Oryzias latipes: one gene and its partner. The protein of the gene in region 2 interacts with the protein of the main gene of each other region in a pairwise test. Links are inferred from orthologs where the notes say so. Each region holds a gene or a part of one and is shown on either strand. Other genes may lie near its edges.

The links.
Region 1: the proteins of zmynd19 (region 2) and enox1 interact in binary tests that used the Homo sapiens proteins (3 or more experiments, as listed by UniProt). The two-hybrid records come from large-scale screens. The link is inferred for Oryzias latipes from reciprocal best matches to the Homo sapiens genes ZMYND19 and ENOX1.

What each region holds. Positions count from the first base shown.
Region 1 is NC_019879.2:14,129,593-14,135,911, reverse strand, and holds the start of enox1 (ecto-NOX disulfide-thiol exchanger 1), read right to left. Parts: upstream 3,554-6,319; 5' UTR 3,247-3,553; intron 1-3,246. UniProt on the Homo sapiens protein: Probably acts as a terminal oxidase of plasma electron transport from cytosolic NAD(P)H via hydroquinones to acceptors at the cell surface.
Region 2 is NC_019870.2:12,308,475-12,314,747, reverse strand, and holds the start of zmynd19 (zinc finger MYND domain-containing protein 19), read right to left. Parts: upstream 4,263-6,273; 5' UTR 4,033-4,262; coding exon 3,982-4,032; intron 104-3,981; coding exon 44-103; intron 1-43. UniProt on the Homo sapiens protein: May be involved as a regulatory molecule in GPR24/MCH-R1 signaling.

The DNA of each region.
Region 1 (6,319 bases), on a different chromosome or scaffold from region 2:
CCTGACCTTTAATGGGCGCCATCAGTGGCCAGACTGACATCACGTGACCAGTTCACTCTTACATTGTCTAGCGCAGTAACTAGAGAGCTGACAATGTCATCAGCTGTTGTTGTGTCCATCAACTCAAGAAACTCTGCTGTGATGGTCTCCTCAACACTTCTAAGAAATATGCACAGTTGTGCAATATCTGTATCTGTGCTTTCATCAATAGTGACCAAAAATGCAATAAATGACTGGATTCCTTCATTTGGCACCCAAGTCTCCTCAGAGATGTTGTATCTGCAATCGTAATCCTTAACAGACTCATGCTGGCAAAGGTTGACTGTTTTTTGGGGTACAAGACTTCTGCAGCCTTCAGAATTTTTCAATGAGCTCACTATCTGAAAATGGTTTGGACGTTTGCTCCAACTTTTTTGCAATAAGGTAGCTAAGTGTCACTGCTCCATCACTGACGTCACGGCTGCAGTAAATGCAGATGCTTATTTTGTCAGTCCAGCTAATAGTTGGTAAATCTTCTCTTTTCTTAACTCCCCCTGAAAATGGTGAGCTTTCTTTATGGTGAGTCTCGTAGTGGTGCTGAATGTTGTATTCTTTGAGCACCTGTTGATGACATACAAAGCATGCAGGTTTTGCATTCAACTCCGTGAAAAAATAAAACTCTTTCCATTGTTCCTGGAAAGCTCAGCCCTCTACTTCCACCTTTGTTGTTTTTTTTGACAAGATTTTGGCCATTAGGCTGTCACTACTGATCATTCTTATAGCAATGTATTAGTGGTGATGCTCGTGCGAAACCAAACTACATCCTCCTCCTCCTACTCAGACACAGAGCTTTTAGGTTTCCCTTTGGCACGTGCAAAGATATGCTGTTTCACCTGTTTTGCTTTTCCTTTGCTCCCCCTAGTGGTGGAATTGCTCATTTCGGTTATTTCTTTAAAAAATCATATCTCGCCACAGGAATGGACTAGAAACATGTTTTTTTTAAAGATCCTTATCATTTTTACTCTTCATGACTGGGCCAGATTGAACCCTCGGCCAACCATATATTTTGACACCCCTGATCAAGGGCCTTGTGGAGGTGGTCTGGTGGAGGGGGGCATCCCGGTTCATCTCCGCCCCCCAATTTTGACTTTCACTTTAGACACCACGCACAGCATGTTGGCACACCACACACAGCAAATACACACAACACATACACTCACCCTCCCTTTTGCAGAGTGGGGAGGGCATTTTGGGGGGGATATGGATACGGGAGGAGGGGGTGAGGAGGCTGTAGAGGGCAGTGGATTGTGGGGAGCTAGGGATGGAGCTGCTGTTGCGTTGTGATCTTTGGGCTGCTTAGGTCGGGCGCTGGGGCTGGGCTGGGGTGACGATTTTCCGGCTGTAACCCCCAAGCTGGAGGTGTGGCTGCAGCAGATACCTGGAAAGATCTCAGACCTCTCAGTCCAGAAAAGCGCAGTGCTAGGAACAGCTAAGATCCTGCGCAGGACCCTCAAGCTTCCAGGCCTCTGGTAGAGGACCCGAGCTTGTGGGAGAAACCACCCACAGAAGGTTGAGAGGGGTGGTTTCTTTTGTTGTCTGTTTTTTATAAAACACAAAATGTGACGAATAAATATAAAAAGAAAAAAAAAAAAACAGAACAAAAACAAAAAGGGGTTTACACAAATTTACACCCTGGATATTTGAAGATACATAACCTCTTTTTGTAATAGTAAAGCCTGTAAAACCAACACAAAAGGCCTTTAGCTCCCATCTGTTCGCTCAAATGTTGGACAGAACAAGTTAAAAAATAAATTAAAAAATCACTCCTGGGTTGTGGCTAGGACTGCAGGGAAGAAGGCCGACTCCCATTTCATTCATCACTCTCTCCCAGTGTAAACTGGGAGCCCTCACACTCCTAAGCTGACATTAGCTGTGCAACAGAAATGGCGAGCAGTACTGGAGCTATCCAGCCATACGGTTTTGATCCAGATTGAAGTGTATGAAGCGGAGCAGGGAGCTTGTGGCCACTGATTGGAGCACCTACGTCCCTGCTACAAGCTTTTTACAATGGTACTTATTCATCTGCTCATGGTTTACACAATTTTTATCGGACTGGTTCTTTAAGCACAGACTCAATTCTGTCAGATTCCAAACAGGATTTCAAAACAGGTTAAAGGTATTTTTAAATGTCAGAGTGGCCTTTGAGGAAATGTAAGCAGACACAGCTTCAAAAGTTATTTTAACTACAAAACAAAGCTCTAATTAGGTTTAAAAACTGTTTATGTTTTAGGGGACAATCATTTTCATTTACATCAAACTGAGTTGGAAGAAAAATAATTTCATGTCTTTGCAGACGCATTCCGCTCCTCTGATGAGGATGTTGCCCTGGTGATATGAAACAAAGAGCTTCTGTTTGTTTATCCTGAGTTGCTCAGCATCAGCAAGCTGGACTCAGATTTAAAAGGTATAGTCACGCTAAACACAGGCAGTTTTGCTCCTCTACGCTTGCTTTTTTATGGCAATACCTTCTCCATCATATTATTCAGAAGCTCCAGTTACTGATTCTTTTAAGGTTTGACCTAAAAAAACAACAGCACAAAAAATACATTTTTTGTGTTAGATTTAACTTTTAACAACCAACTTCTACTGTGTACAGTCATTGTTGGAAAGAAAGAGAAAAAAAGCAGGTCTCTGTGCTTCTGAAGGGTTGTCAAGGTGACTTGATACCAAGGATGTTCTCTCCTCCTCCTCCTCCATTGCTCAACCTCTCCCCCTCTCATCAGTATCAGCACAAGTCAGCAGAGAAATCCCACCCGTGTTTATAAAGGACACAGTAAGAAATGGAGGTGCATCCTATGAGATTTATGTCCAATCTAATGGATATTTTTTCTCCTTGAACAGCTTTTCAAGAAGCAAAAGTGAACACAGCCCTTCTTTAGTCAGCTTCCTTTTATTCCTGTTTTATTTGCATTAAATACAGTCTATGGTGTAATATATGCACTTTTAGGAAAATCTGTGGTACTAACTCCTGAGATTCAATAGTGCAACTGTTAGGCATCTTTGCTCAAGCTTTGGTTTGTAAATCAGCAAATATTCTGATCATCTAATTGATAACGGTTCTGCATCCTCTGTGCGCGCAGGAAAGCTTTAATTCCTCTTCAGCGTCTCCCTTCTGCCTCTCTCTGCTTCTCCAGAGAGCGCATGAGCTGTTCCAACCTTCCAGCAAAGCGAGAACCCGTCAAAAAAGCGCACAATCCTGCTCTTTACCTTACTGCCTCACGACGCAGTCCAGTGGTGACTGATCCGGCTGAAGGCACGGGATGTGCAGGCGTGAACGCAGCTCAATCCCGGTGCTGGAGAGAAATCCTCCGCGTGTTTCCTCTCACGCACTCTGAAGCATCTCAGCCAGGAGACGCCGCTGCCGCCTCCGGTGGAGCGCGCTACCGACACACGTGCACGCCGTTACCAGACAATACCGATTCTCCTTCAGCGACAGCTTTTTTGATTATCAAGACGAAGAAAGAGTCGTTGATTTAACGTTTACGAAGAATGAGAACTCCGATTTTCTTATCCCTGTAGAAAACGCGTCTCTATATTCTTTTGTTCATTCCTGGGGCTGATCACAGCCCTGATGATCAGATACCGAACAAATTGAGCAGTTACCTACCCACCAAATTGATGCACAAACCATTCTTTCAGTTGAATAGCAATCCCAGTTAATAGTCTTTCACCTCTGTGCTTGACGTTTGAACTTCTTTATTCAAAAATTCCAACCTGAAAAATCATGAAAACTGAAAGACTTTCAAATCACAAGTACTACTATTTTATTCCCAAACAACAAAACTTAAATAGAATTTCATTTTTTCCACTTCTCCACTAAACCATAGAACACAAACAATACATTTATGATTCAGTATCTTATCAAGTAGAGGATTTGCTTTAGAAAAACAGTAAAAAGTAATCTGTAACGTGTAACTTGCACAACACTGATTGTTAGTACCTAATTTTTAATATTTCTACAATGTCTATTATACCAACAAAGCTTCACAGTTTCTACCTTCAAACAAAGGCTGAAAAGTAATCAGCTTTGCATACATTGAAGTTGTTTTCTGATTTGAAATGTATTTTCTTAGTTATCTACACAGTGGCAGTTTTTGATATGGGAAAAATGGGCGGTGGACCAGGGCAGCACTTCATAGGGGGCGGCATTTTCCGTGCCCGTTGCGTTACACATAATGTGCTTCTAAATTCAAAGAGGCATTTTTGAGCTATTGTTTTGACACGCCTGCAGCTGCCGACACTTTACACTCTTATTTTAACACATCAGACTCTTAACAATGTCTTCATCCTATTCCCTCTTCACACTTATGGTGCAAAAAAAAAAAAGGGATGAAATAACTCAGAGTGAAACAACGTAAAACAGGGACATGAAAAGGAATTAGGCAGAAGAAACACCCGTGCTCAACCCAATTTCTACAAAAGCAGGCAATGGGGATTATTTCCCACAATTCCCTGCTCCCACACAGCAGACCCGACGCGCACGTGACCACCACTTGCGCCCACACCTCTTTGCGGTAGTCTTTGTAACATAAGTCAAAAAAACTCGAGAGGGGGGCGCAACTCACTGGTGACTGGGTGAATCACACTAACAGGTGATTGGGAGTCTTTTTCTATCTAACGATCAACTCTGGGCCGCAGCTGCAGCTGCGCCTCCCGTCATAGAGACGGAGTGTATCAGAGGGAAGGGGAGGGGTGGTGGGCGCAGACCATTTTTTATGGATTGAGTTTTTTTGGAGGATTTCTGCTGTTGGTGTTGCACAAATTAAGGGAAATGCCAAATATTTTTGGAATAATCATACTGATGAGTTCTATGATTTAGTTTTTAATGTTTTATAAGACCTAAAAATAGTATTCACAATAAGTTTTTTTTTTAGATCTAATCCCTCTGATATGTTTCACAAAGACACACACAGGACGTCACACATTAAGAAATTATTGCCAAAAATGAAGCAGTCCAGCTCTAAAAAAAAAGCTCTAAAAAATGCTAAAAGAGCTAAGAAAACGGAATTATTTGATTTGTTATTTCTTATTATTATTTCCAGGTTTTCTTTGTTTTGTTCTGCAGCATGTTCATATTTGTATCATTTTGACAGAATATATTTCTATGGGGAGCAAAATATTATAAGTTATTTAAGGTTTAACTTGAGTTACTCTGGATTAATGTTCCTGTTTTTATTCATATTTATGTTCAAAAAGTTCAGTTTAAAAGGTTTAAAAGTTTAGCTTTAGTGTGTTCAGTAAATGTTTATCTTCTTTGGCCCAAAACCTTATGCGTGTTTTTAATTTAGGCTCCTGTGTCACTCAGTATGACCCCCTGTCCCCCTGTAATACGAGTCTAGAACATTCATGCATTTTTTGTGTAAAATGGCTAAATAGAAGATAGGGAACACAACAGGATGTTGTCAAATTTTGTATGTGTGCGGGGGGGGGCTGTTGGGGTTACTCGCCCAGGGAGTAAGTTAGTGTAGAACCGCCACTGATTCTACACATCATAAAACATCTACAGAGCAAGACATGGGCAACAGAACAGAAATGATGAAGAGGCGCAGCTCACAGGTACACAGCAAGTTTCCATGTGGAGAAGACAGTTTTCAGAAAGGACCCAAATCATGCCATACCAAAGTCCTATGATAAGAAAAATGAGTCATCCAAGAAATTCCTGGACGTTCAGATATTGAACTTAACAGAGGACAGCTGGCGCCCCCTGCTGGCCCCCTTGAGCACATACATAAATGAAGGATCTGCTTCATAAAGAAACCTCATTAATAATTTAGTATTTTTTGTTCTGCGTTTTGGATTCTATGGAAGTGATTCTGTAGCATAATTAAAAATAAAAGTCAACACCAGAAAATGATTTTTCATTTTCAAAATGAAGCTGCATTTTTCATTAAAATGAAAAAGCAATCTGGCAAAATGCTTTTTCATTTTTTTTCTTCAACACCACTTATTCTGTCACCTTTTCATTTTTACTTAAAAAACGCTTAATCTGTGTCATAATGAAAATGAAAATGCAAAGAGGGGATTGCATTTTCATTTTCACATCCACCCGACGAATGGTGTCGCATAATTCAATTCGACTTAGCATTTCCAGAGGGGAGGCAAGGCGATGATGTCAGTGCTCTCTCCATCTGTCCGACTGCTAAGACTCACATGCTGGGAGCAGTGTGGCCAGGCTTGTAGCTTTGTGTTAGCGACAGAGGAGAAGGCTTTGTGACTGTTGTGCTATCCTGATGATTGTACACAGCTTCTCAGGACTACGTAGCAGCATTTCCGCCTTTTG
Region 2 (6,273 bases):
AAAAACACTGCAGTTACAGCTGAAAAAAATCAAAAGGTTTTACCTCAAAGGCATAGTTTTCCACCAGTGGTATGTCCTGCTCATCAATTAGAGTGTATTTTGTCTATAAAAAAATTAAAAAAATGCATCAGCACCAAATGGAAGCATAACTTCTAAAACAAAGCAAACCAAATCACAGTTTTTCTCTGAATGTGTGTGGGGGGGGGAATAGAAGCTCAAAACCACATTTCAAAAATTTGATTCTAAAGATAAAAAAACATTTTTTTTGGTCTCCTTAATGCCCAGTAAAAGCTTTGTGATTGCAGAACCAAAATTGGTTGATTATTAGTGACTGTTAGGGCTGCACGATATGAGGAAAACTCGCGATATGCGATATTGGTGATTAATATCGCGATAACGATATAATTTGCTGTATATAAACAAATAGCCAAACAACCAAAAACATCATTTACATTTCACTGCAAAGGTTTAAAAATTATACTCCAAATGACCCTTGTCGACGTAGGAGGCAAACATCAAACATAAAAGGGCTCCATCTGATTGATCAACAAGGTAAACGGGTCCTTCCGATTGGTTAAATGCATAAAGGGATTAATTGCATTTGTTCACTATTTCAGGCTGCCATGAGTTTTTTTTGCACATTTGCAGGGGTTGACATAGCCCAGAAATTTGCACTGGCCCACAGGGCCAGTAGTTTTTGAAAGTTACTGGCCCGACACCGCGCACAGCGAGACCCGCCGCTCCGCAGGTGCTTGCAACTTTAGGGGGGTCCGGGGGCATGCCCCCCCCCCCCCCGGAAAATTTTAATATGGTGCAATTTGGTGCATTCTGGTGACATCTAGCACTTATTTATACACTTTTCAATGACTAAAAATAGAGCATATCAAACTTAAATCTGCTCTAGTCTGTTTCAGATGTTTTGAAGGGAGCCCTGCAGTGTAGTAGTTAACACTAGTTAAAAAGTTTTCATGCTGCTTCTAATCACTGCTATTTCACATTTGTTCCTAATCAATAGTTAAGAAGTTTTATTGACTCTTTTGCCCTGACTGCCTTAAGGTTCTGCTTTTTGTTACTGTTGCAAAGTTACATTTACTTTTTAGTTACTTTAGTTACCTAATTAAATTAAATAATTGAAAAATTAAATACAATTAAATTACTGAGATCATTCAGCTAACTAGAAATACTTACTGCTTACAGTGTTGTAAAGAAAAACAAAATTAAGTAGTTTGACCTTATACTCCATTTGAGTCTGAGATTCAGGTATTTGGAGTTGCCTTTGATTCTTTGACATTCAGCTTAAAGCTTAGTGCATACAGTTTCATCTTCAATGCATTCATTAAATATCTTGCTGTCCATAGTACTAATTCCACCCGTCACTCCATCTAACATATTCCTATCTATTCCTGCCATGTCTTCCACATCTCTGACATGCTTCAGTCTCTCTTCAGTGACGGTGTTGGATTTATGATCATCGCGGTGAAAAACCACCAGGGGGCGCGCTGATATGTGTGTCAGTTTAAATATATCTGCCTAAAATGTAATAATAACCCACTGGCTTGTTCCTTCGTTGTTGCTGTTTAACATTGTTTAGTATTGAATTGTTACATTCAATAAAGTTTGAAAAAAAAATTGAGTGAGCGCGTGCCGCATGGTGCTCGGTAGTGACAGCCGCGCGCAGGCGGGAGAGGAGGAGAAGATAAAAGGTTTCCCATAGAAATCCTTGAAGTCTGAACACAGGACTAGCAGAAAAAGTAAATTATGAAGACGAGGTAAATCTACACGTTTTCGCAAAATATACTTTATTGAAAAAGGTGAAAAATGTATTAATTGTTAGATATTTTAGTGGCCCGAGCGGACAAGTAAAAAATAAAGTCTTGTGGTCCGTACTGCTCGAAAAACAGGACCGGGCCAGCGGACAAATGGCTATGTCGAGCCCTGATTTGAGGTAACCATTTATTGCGATTTTCGCCGTCTTTTGCGGTATGCATATTGCACACCTTGATTTCGCGATAACGATAAATTTGCGGTATATTGTGCAGGCCTAGTGACTGTCACTGTGGATTTAGTTTCAGAGATCACTCTGTGGGTCATATAGTTAATATGAACTACTATACATAGGCCAGATGCAGATGCTTCCATTTCTTTGCAATTATCAGCAAATATCAAGTAACTAGACCAGGGGACAGCAACCTTTAAAAGAGCTAATCACGTTGATTTCTCACCGACCACAACTCAGAAGGAGCTGTAGTCTTATTACGACAGTGGTTTGTGTTTATTATAGTATTGTCACTGTTATAAGAAATATAAATTATGGTTTATTCATTCCTAAAAACAAAATGAAATTAGATTTTTTTCCCAAATACGAATGAGTTTCTAACTTTTGACAGAGCTTCCTCTGACTTCCTTTCAAAATAAAAGACACACTGTGCCACATGGGATCATCCCACTGCAGAATATTTTGTACACGTTGTGTAATGTCAGTAGTGATTTAAAACACAACACAACATTGTTTTGTTGGTGCACCACAGCCACCGATTTGTAAACCTAACAAACTAAAATTAAACCAGAGCTAACTAAGTTACTTTACTCATAAGGTAAACTTAAAATCCTTAATTTTCTTCAAATCGACAGTGCTTCTTAGAACTGATTATCTCTGGCACATGGTGCTTAAAAGGCGACTTTGATAAACTACAAAACTGCATTGCTTTATGGCTTGCATTATGGGTATTGTAGTCAAAAACCTTGCAAAGTGATGTGTACTGTGCTTTAACTGCTCGTAAATGACTTTAATAAGATTTGACTTGTCTGACTGTTGTCATTCGTTCAATGTGGCTTTTAGTCCAAATAATAGATTACATTGTACATTTTAAAAACATTTTAAGTTTTCTTCAGAGCCACAATGGAAAGAAGCCTCCTGTTGCAGACCACTGAACTAGACAAATAAGTAGCACAGTTCAAAAACTAAGAGATTTTTCTAATACTGTTGTCTAAAAGTAAGCTAAGCAAGTTAGAAAAAAATGCATTTTAACAATAAAATAGTTATATAACCTGCTAATACACACCTCTGCATGTAATAGACACAATACTGCAGCCCTTAATAATTGCTAAATGAAATATTCAAATACGTAAGTCTCAGGCTGCAGTGAGCACAAGTCAAATGTGACAGATGAGTTATGGACCTTGAAGAGCTTCTTCTGTGTGTGTGTGTGCGCGCGCGCGCCCGCGTAAGGTGTCTCGCGCTGCTGGATGTCGTCATTCAGCAGGTGGGCAGCTAGATCCATCACAGCTCACACAAGTTCATCCACCTGTCCAGTTCATCCCGGGTGTCCTGTGACACCAGCAGCGTTTCCAGCCCTTCCTTCACGTCACATCCTCATGGAACAAATACTTGGGGTTGACATCATCCTTTTCTTTAAATAAATGACAAATCTCCGCCTCGCATTCATGCTGCACACCACAGTTCAGGCCGGCAAAAGTCAGTTGATAAGCGTGGCAACACTTCCTTCATTAGCCAACAGTTGAGTGTAATCCAGATCCAGCCGTTAGCGTGCTGCTAACCATCAGCGACTGATAATTTTGCGGCACTTCACCTTACAATTTGCACATTTTCAACACTACTGATAACAGCACCGATAGTACAAATTAAAAACACGAATCAATGTTTCAATATGCGTCACAACTGTTTTGAAATTAGAAACCGCTAATGTACCCTGCTACATGTAAGCTAGCGCTAGCTCTAATCGAGACTGATAGCGGCGGCATTCAGGAGCAGTCTGGCTCGACACGGCCGGCTTCTCTGCTCAAACGCGGCTAAAAAGATTAAGCTAAACGACGCCAGAGTCCACAATGGCCACATTGTTATTACAGCTGCAAACTAGGATCCACTAATGTCTGTAACGGTTTCTTCAGTCGTGTTTTTGTATTCCCCGAGGGCCCTCCCACGGCCGCACATGGCAGCCCTAGATCATAGATCCAACTCACCTTCCCGGCCACACGGCCGAGCCGTACGATCCCGAGCTTGAAATCCGACATGGGGAGAACGGTCTTGCAGTGACACCGGGAGGAAGTAGATCCAACTTAATCGGAACCGAGATGGACAGCTCGCCGAGGTAGCTCCCCAGCGATGCCACTTTGGGACTGAGCGAGTGGTAATTGACCTGTGTCCGGGTCTATCCGGCCGCAGCCCTGCCTCGGTGACACACCACCACCGCTGGCGCAGGAGAGCCGAGCGAGCTGCTGCGAGGGGGGCGGGACCGGGGAGAGGAACTAGTCAGGGGTGAATCAACCAATGAGATGCGAGTTTGGTGCCAGCAGCGAGTTCATTCAGACCAATAGAAAACGAGAACGTTCAAAGGCCGCCCATTTCAGATATGACGCCATTGAACTCTCGTGACCATGCACAGACATTTGCGCGCGAAATAAAGTGATAAGTAAGCAAATGGCATTGAAACTACTAGTGACCTGATAATCCTATTCTAATTGTACAAAACTAAGTCAGATAGTTTAAAGATGTCGGTTTGCCCTCAACTCAGCACATAGGTTTGCTTTTAGAAATTACAGGTTATTTTTGAGAGCCTTCAGAGATTAGATGACCCAATCTAATGAAAATGTTTTTTTGGTGTTTTTAACATGATGATGATGATGGTAAAATTGCCTTTTTAAGTATTTCTTCATTGTGGTGAAACAAGAGAGATCAAAAAACTAAGTTGTTTGTAAAAGCTTGTAGTTGTGATGTATCATCACATCTATAATCTACATTACAGGCAATAAGCTCCCTCCACTTCATTCCAATGCTGCAGACATAATCTTTGTACGTCTCGTCTGAGCTGGCATGTGGTTTAGAACTGTACGGTGGTTAGCTCCAACATAGCTCACCATCTTTGTCCCACCGCTAAAGTATGGTTGTAAGGGGCTGTAATGGGCTTGTGAGTGAGAATGTACACAGATGGATGATGGGAAATAAGCCAACGGTCCCGCCCACAACTCAGGCAAATTTCTCATGACCCTAAAACGCTACAAGTTTTTTCCATTTTGGCAAAGTGCTGGCAGTTTTGTCTGAAATTTGGATTAGATTAATGACTGAAGTCTATTCTATAAAAGTTTTATTAGTGAGAATGTCACAACACTAAGCACATTTAACATACCTGTACTATGGGTCTTGGACCAAAAGCTTTTTCTTTTATGCTACATATCTGAAAAGGAGCAGTGCCTTTTTCCTAATTCTGCACCAGAGAAAGAAAGAAAAAGAGTCTAATTAAGACAACATAGTATTTATACAAAAGCACAATTGCTTGAACTCTTCCAGTTTTAGAAAGGATAGGATTGTTATATTTGTGATGTAACAGTCATTAAAGTCAAACAAATTCCATCATGATTAACAAACATAATTCATGTGTTTTGTGGATGGGCATTGCAACATAATGCCACCATGTCCACACAAACCCGGCGTGGTGTGCATAGGCGGAGCAGTGGATGTGTGGCCTATTAACAAAACCTACTCTGCTGAGGACATGGATACTCTAGTGAGTGTAAGTAAACTAGCATCTTCAAAACACCTGTTTTTGCTCTATTATTTATTTAGCATTTTACACAAAAACTCAGTTTCATTTTCATTATTATAAAGTTTCTTTATGTTACTGTATTTGTCTAGCCTTGTTTGAATGTCTTCAATTGGGTTTAAACCAACTTATGATTCATCTGGAAATGTTTCTTCAATGTGAACCAGGCTTCCCCAATAACATTTAATCTATTGTATTTAAAAAATAATGCCTTATCTATTTTATACTCATTTATTTAAAAAAAAAAATAAGGGTTGTGCCATGAAAAATGCAAATTAATATGCTTCTTTTGGGGCACACAGCTTCCAGATTTTCACAATAAAACTACTTCCTTTTTTGTAATTCTGACCAGATCTGGTTCAACCAGCTTGTTTTATGTGTGCCTTGACTTCTAGTGTAGCAGCCACAGAAAATTCCTACAACTTAATATAAATTAACGGTAATCCATCTCCACAATTCGAGTTTTTTTAGATAGTTAAGCTTACAACAAGATGAAATTCACAGTGGAATATGTGCATATGCACAACACAAGCTGTAATTGAGGGGAATTTCCTCAAATATTGATTTTCTGCATCAATATTTGAGGAAACTAAGCAACCAAGACGGCATGGTTCCAAAAAAGACTATCTCCTTCGAACAAGAATTAACCCTCTCAAGGAAAAGACACACTCTTTTCAGGATTGCAATGAACACATTCTGGACAAAGAGGACAAAG